Linked DNA regions of Danio rerio. The protein of the gene in region 1 purifies or fractionates together with the protein of each later gene. This does not show direct contact. Links are inferred from orthologs where the notes say so. Each region holds a gene or a part of one and is shown on either strand. Other genes may lie near its edges.

The links.
Region 2: the proteins of marchf6 (region 1) and sqleb purify together in Homo sapiens (affinity purification with western blotting; 4 studies listed by BioGRID and IntAct, with this or other methods). This does not show direct contact. The link is inferred for Danio rerio from reciprocal best matches to the Homo sapiens genes MARCHF6 and SQLE.

What each region holds. Positions count from the first base shown.
Region 1 is NC_133177.1:33,459,596-33,463,252, reverse strand, and holds part of marchf6 (E3 ubiquitin-protein ligase MARCHF6), read right to left. Parts: intron 3,187-3,657; coding exon 3,043-3,186; intron 2,957-3,042; coding exon 2,884-2,956; coding exon of another isoform or gene 2,857-2,883; intron 2,678-2,856; coding exon 2,509-2,677; intron 572-2,508; coding exon 379-571; intron 19-378; coding exon 1-18. UniProt on the Homo sapiens protein: Endoplasmic reticulum membrane-associated E3 ubiquitin ligase that plays a critical role in mitigating endoplasmic reticulum stress, the regulation of cholesterol and lipid homeostasis, and ferroptosis.
Region 2 is NC_133194.1:8,354,390-8,358,146, reverse strand, and holds the start of sqleb (squalene monooxygenase), read right to left. Parts: upstream 2,590-3,757; 5' UTR 2,549-2,589; coding exon of another isoform or gene 2,510-2,548; 5' UTR 2,502-2,509; coding exon 2,404-2,501; intron 2,210-2,403; coding exon of another isoform or gene 2,205-2,209; coding exon 1,993-2,204; intron 1,920-1,992; coding exon 1,748-1,919; exon of another isoform or gene 1,664-1,747; coding exon 1,567-1,663; exon of another isoform or gene 1-1,566. UniProt on the Homo sapiens protein: Catalyzes the stereospecific oxidation of squalene to (S)-2,3-epoxysqualene, and is considered to be a rate-limiting enzyme in steroid biosynthesis.

The DNA.
Region 1 (3,657 bases):
CATTCCAGTTCATATCATCTGCAAAAAAACATACACAACGTTCCTATGGGTTCCTGCACCAGTCACAGTTCATTCTGTCTGTCTATTTATTTTCACACCACCGACTTATTTCAAGATCAACATAGACAAATACACATTAAATAATAATAACTTCAATAACAACTTCATATTTCAATAAAAGTTAATACAAAATAAAAATATATATACATATACACATTTAAACATTAGATATCATTATAAACATTAGATATTTCAGTTAAATAACTTAAAACTATTCCTAATTACTCCCTTCGAAATTCTAGATTTTTAAAAACATACTCATCCTAAATTTTTGCCCTTTGAGGAGATTCCTAATTAGTTTAAAGTATCATGTTGTACCTTGTGCTCCATTGTTAGCATCTGCCACATCTTCAGCTCCTCCATCATCCTCATCCTCATTATCAAGCTCCATCTCTTCAGCAGGATCAGCGGGGAGGTCAGGAGCCTCAGCAGCTGCAGCGTTTTCTGCTGGAGGTTCAGCCGGAGCTGGCATGGGCTGGTTCTCAGCACCACCATTACCCTGGCCAGGGGCCTGATGGATGAGATATTATATTAATGATAAAGAGAATTGTCCCCTATGACTGAGTCAACTTGTGGTAAAGCACTGGCATGAGAGAAAACTGAATCTGATTCAATCCAAGTGGAAACAAACAGCTATTCTGGTTAGAGAATGGTGTCCAGAGATTCAGGGGATAATGAGGGATTTGAGAATGACAGAAGGTCAGGCAGGCTACTGTGTTGAGCTCAAATCAAAATGATAATTATAGTAGGACGCAAAGTAAACAAAGCGGGTCACGGCGCAACCTCTTTAATTAGTCTCTGAAGAATATCAAGCTTCAGAAAGTTTAGCTGACATACGCAGCAACTAGAGTGTCATTCACACTGTGTATAAAAAAAAAAAAAAGTTGCTGGTGAAAAGGTTTATTAAGGAAGATTAGGCCACCTAAAAAGACTGTTCATTCTTTGGCCAAAAAATATTTTTTTTAATTCTGCACATCACAATAATGTACCAAACAATGATCTGCATGCACAAAAAAGGTTTATTTTCAATGCCATGCCAGTTTCGATGACTATTTACACAAAAATATATATCTAAATTAGCTTATTTCAAGCAAAAAAAAGACAGAATTAACATCACTGACCATGCATGGGTTTATTCTAACAAAAATATTGCTTAAATCGGTTTAAAAAAAAAGGGAATTTGGTTCTTTAGAGTAACACTTCCAGGTTATAACTTTTTACAGTGCAAATTGTATTGCTTTTCCTTTAAATACATTTACTCTATGATATTTAAGCCACTGCAGTCACACTACCATTTGCAATTTCAATTAATTAAACAAATATTCTACTTAATTCAAGATGTGAATGTTTTATTTGCTGAAATACAACAGGTAATACTTTAGTTCAAGTACCAATTCTGACTATTAACAAGTGGCTTCTAGTCCCACCTAGAATCTAAGCATGCAGAAATTCACTGATTTTACAGATTTTTAGCCCATCGTTGAGTCTATTTATGTACTTGTGTAACTTTTTACTTATTCAATTTTGAAATTTATTTCATTAATATTATTGTCAAATATGAAAATGCTCATATGAATTACTTACAATACAGTTTGTAAAGTATATTTTGTGTCTTAGATATTTTATATAAGTGACTTACTTTGTTTACCAATTAATGAACCAAGCTGCATTTGCATTGTAAAGATGAAATAAAAGTTAAAAAGCTACAGTTTTTTTTTTTTTACTTCATATACAAGTTTTTACTTATGATTCTCCCAAAATCTTTCTATATAAATCCACAGATTTTATTTTTCAAAATTCTGAGCAGAAATAGCAAAAAATGGCCTTACTTATTACCTGCCTATTATTAAGATACTGGCTGTTTAATAGAACATTTACACATTCTGCATGATCTTATTCTATATGTTAAACTACTTTAGCTTAAACTACTTTAATTTAACTACTATACATAAGCAGCAAATTAAGTGTTTATTGAAGCATAGTAAATGGTTTCTTAACAGCAGGAATTGTGCTGTAAAATATAGTATAAAAAAAAGATATGCACAAAATATAAATTGTGTTTAACACCATGCGATGCTTCTATGGCTTTTTTTCATGGCGAGTAAAATTAAGAAGCAAAATGGTTTCTGGAACACCAATTCAGCATAATAAAATGATGAAAGATCTTATGACACTGAAAACTGAAGTAATTCAGCTCTGCTTTGATGACGAGACTTCTTTTAAAGCCAATTTCAAACTTTTGCTGAAAGGTTTAAAGCTAGTAAATTAATGTAGCAATAACAAAGTAAAAGAAACTGTACAATAATAATAAAACAATTTGTTTAAATACTTAATCTAACAACTCAACTTTAATAGCTTGTCTATTAGACAATCTAAGTCCGTTTAAATTTGAAGCTGATCTGCATTCAGTCTGACGAAAGGAGGCGTTACACTGCATTGATATTTTACCTCATTGGGCGGTCCTGCGGCATTGGCAGGTTGCTGCTGGTTCTGCTCCAACCATAAAGGGGCTCCACCGTGAACAATCTGCTCCCGCAGCCACACCAGACTGATGAAGGCGCAGAGGGTGCAGGTCACCACAAAGCAGCCCTGCAGGCAGTCGGCCAACAAGTTCTCTCTGCAGAGGACGAGGATTCACTTATCATCACTACAGAAATATCTAACCATTACAATTCACCACGCAACCACATGTCCACAGCTAAACCCGGGACTGCAGTGAGGATTGAAATAACCCCTCATGGCCAGAGTTCACAATGAGCTGATCTGCAACGTAAATGAATATTTTAAGGAGAAAACCTGAGAGCTGTCCTGTCTGGTACGTACGTGGAGAGCATGTCTAATGGCAGAGTCAGGAGCGAGCTTACAGATCCAGTGAACAGACACTTATAGATGCGACCTGCAGGAAAAGGTGAACATTATATGAGTAACACAGCATGCAATGCACAAAACACAGATAGACTGCGGCTTTTCAGCATCACTTACATGCTGTTAATGGTACAACCCCCAGCCAAGCAAAGGCAACAAGCGTGTAATGAAACCAGTATCGGATTGCTGTGCCTATACTGGTGACCAGTCCTGCGAAAATGTCCTGCACTGGGAGCCGTGAAGGCATGTCTGGAGAGTAGACTGAAATGAGAAGAGAAAAGGACTTAGAATTAATCACAGGTGAACATTTTAGTAAGAAAAGTGTAACATTCAGTATTGAGAACTGGGGATTTTCGATTTAAGATGCTCAAGATCCTTCGCAAACTACTGGAGTGCAGACTTATTAGGATTATCGAGTTATTTTCACAGTTGTTCAATGTGTATCTTGCTATCAAATCATGGCTCTGAAATGGCACAAGCCGTAACTCTACAAATAGAAACACGGAAGAGGCAGAAGCGTCTCAATTATCTCATCAAAGACCTCAGAATCAAAGCAACAATTACTGTCTGCATAAACACAGATGGGAAGCAAACAAACTGTTGACAATAGTGACTAATGCTGGGTTCACACAAATGCGGAGCACCAGGTTGCTTGCTCTAGTTTGTTTTTCACCTAATTTTCCACTTGAGTTGAATTATTTTAAACATGAATGTCACAGATTCTCATAACTC
Region 2 (3,757 bases), on another chromosome or scaffold:
TTGGGTAGGCTAAATTGTCCGTAGTGTATGAGTGTGTGTGTGGATGTTTGACAAGGATGGGTTGCGGCTGGAAGGTCACCCGCTGCGTAAAAACTTGCTGGATAAGTTGGCGGTTCATTCCGCTGTGGCGACCCCGGATTAATAAAGGGACTAAGCCGACAAGAAAATGAATGAATGATAATCATTTGTGGTTTTAATGTGAAGGCATCATGAAAACTACCATCAATTCATACATTTCTGAACCAGATAACAATTCTTTTCTGAACTTTTAACCTTTTTTTCAGAAGCATTTTTCACAAAAATTGGGAACTTTTGAAATTTTACAACTTTATTTTGATAAGATGATGCAATCTAATATATTTAAACACTATAAAAGTCCTTAGTTATGGTTAGTCATGGAAGCTCAAGCATACTAGCATGAGACATAAGTACCAATGAGGTTCATTCTTGTGTGTCAAGAAGTTATGATTGAATTGAATTGGTCGCTCATGTTGATATGTGAATAAAAATACAAAATAAATCTGTTTATTACTGATTGTGTTGCTTCAGAAGGCCTGGATTCATTTAGATTCATTCTGTGACCTCTTTGTGAATGTCATAAAAATTTGAGTCAGTATATGTTCAATAGAGGGACAGAATCTTTCAGATTACATTAACATTTCTTGATTTATATTTGATCATCATAAGGTAAACTGACCACTTATGTCAATGTACTGTAACACAGACTATTTTACACTATTTTGATGAGTTCATGATACACAGTAAAAAGCGATTATTAGTTACTTTACTTTTCTAACCTGTAACGGTTTACTTAATTTGTATAGCTATGCACAAAGTTTGGTTACAAACCATTAGTTACATTAAAGTCAACAGGGTTACTCATTTTAGAGGGATAGTTCACCTAAAATCGAGCATTTCCAGTTGTCACAGACCTGTTTGAGTTTCTTTTTTTCAAGTTAAACACAAAAGAAGTGATTTAGAAAAATGTTGGAAACCTGTAACTATTGACTTCCATAGTATTTGTGTTTCCTACTATGGAAGTCAATGTTTTCTTCAGTTTGAACTGAAAAAAAAAAGATTTTGAACAACTTGAGGGTGTGCAAGCAGTGAGTAATGTATTGGTCACACTTTACAATAAGGTTGTGTTAGTTAATCTTAGTTCATGCATTTACTAACATGAACAGACAATGAACAATACATTTATTACAGCATTTGTTCATGTCAGATAACGTTAGTTCATGATAATACATTTATTCATTGTTGGTTCATGTTAACTCGCTGTGCAATAGCTAATGTCAACAAGTATGAATTTGGATTTTATCAATGCATCGTTAATGTTAAATTATGATTAATAAATGGTTTGAAAGTTGTGTTGTTTATAAATAGTTCAAGTTAAATACATGAACTAATAAAACCTTATGATAAAGTGTGACCAATGTAACAACTATCCAAGTAAAGTCAAATGATTGCTTTTTAGTATAGAATTTGACATTTTTTTATTAGGCAGCATTAGACATTTTGTGTTAATCTTTTTTTAGCTATAAACATGATCTTTTTTTGACTAACCTGTATTTTCCCAGAATCCTTATCCTTGTACTGGACTCCTTTAACACAGCCATTTTCTTCTTCAAGATATGTCACCGTGCCTTCAATGAACCTCACACTCAAAAAATACCAGGTAAATATGTCATTTAAAATGCATAATTACAAAAATATGAATTTTGAACACACCATGTGTTTGTGGTACTTTGGCTCTGCCAGTGCAGCTCTGCGCAGCCCCATGATGAAGCGGCCATGATGGAAAGCTCTTCCACACTGATCCTGATCTTCAGAGTAAGGAATCTCCACAACCATCCTGCTTTCAGTGTCATGGATGATATAACCATTCACAATCTGTGCATTCAACCCCTCTACCGACTCTATAGGAAAGAGGGATCATGGCTCAGAATGGAAACTGAAGCATGGTGACTGGATGATCAAAAAGAAACTCACTCTCCAGGCCTAATTCTATGAGTGCACGATATCCACCAGGTTGAAGCAGTTCACCAACTATTCTGTCCGGCTCTCTCAGACTCCTCTCAATCACTGTAACCTTTCGTCCATCTTGACCAAGAACTGATGCCAGTGAGGAGCCCAAAACCCCGGCCCCTACAATGATGACATCAGGGACATCTGGAGCATCAACATCTCCTGAGCTGGAGGTGCTGTTCTGTGCATAGGTAAGAATAAATACATCTTGGTCTGTAAATATAAAAGATAATGTATAAAAAGTATTCAATTAAAATCAATTATAAGCCTACTATGGTTAGGGGAACTTTCTGACGGTAAGACAGACCAAACGTCTAAATGTAGGTCACTGTCAAGCACCATTAATGAACACACAGAATCACTCAAAAGTCATACCTTAAAATGTCGTGAACTTGAGATGAGCATGGACATTTTATGAGCATAATCATAGACGTTGCTGCACCTGTATCGATGGAGTGTTGAAAGCATGTCATTTATTTACCGAGGGATGTGAGCTGACCTCCACTGTCTGACAGAACATTACATGACGAGCTTAGAGAGTCAGATAACTCCGCCCACTCCGTCAGCCATCCAATCGCATCACTGTACGGTTAGATCAGAGACTTGCGCCCAGCTGACTGGATTTATTTGTTATTCATATATTTTTGAAGATAATCCCTGGTTATGAATATGTTCGAGAGGGCGCCATTCAAAAAAAGACTGAGAAAGAAAAAGATGTCTAGAGTTTCTTGTATAAAAGACCTACTTTATTCTGAGAAATGTATTGGGAAACACATTATTATTATTATTATTATTATTATTATTATTATTATTAAATTGGCATCGAACGTTCCAAAAAGAAAATTTAAAGGAATAATTCACCCAATGATGAAATTCTGTCTTTTAATCACACTTCACTTCAAATTTAGTTTCTTTCTTGAGAACACTTGTGGAATGGAAGGTTCCACAAAAGGATAGTTCACCCAAAATTAAAAATTACTTCATTTTTTATTCTCCCTCATGAGTTTTTTTTTATGTTGAACATAAATTAATATATATTTTTTAAATATTAGTGGGACCCACTGATTTCAAAAGTATTTTTCCTCTACAATGGAAGTCAATTGGTGGTAGCAAACCAACATATTTCAAATATCTTCTGTGTTCAACTTAGGAAAGAAAGTCATGAAGTAGTATAAGGAAAGTTGGCAATTTTTCAATTTTGGGTGAACTATCCTTTAAACATTTGTCGAATCTTTACATTCTACAAGTGACTTTTATAATTTAAAAAATGTTAGATTCTTAAACCCTTTTCATACTAAAATTAAATGCTTCTTTTAATTGTTTAATTTTTGTTGTTGTTGTTTTTAAGAAAGAAAGCTCTCAGGCCTTTTTGTATTCATTTATTAACTAAAAAAAACAAACCATGCAAGATACAGATTTATCTTTGGTTTAGTTTTAGCTCACAGCAAATCATGACAGAAACTAATTTGAATAACTCAAAACAATATCAATTCACACGAGAAAGTAAATCATAATCGACAATAATAAACAACATGCAAACTTACAATTATGGTGTCAAATCTGTTTATTAAAATGTCTTCTAATTTTTCTGGCTTTCTATTAAACGGTCCAGTTTTGTCTGCAAGTCTGCAACACAGTCGTGTATTGGTGATCTTGAGAAGTCTACAGAGCGCTGGAAGTACTTTGTGATATCAGCCTGCATATTGAGTTGACGTGCTATAGGGTCATT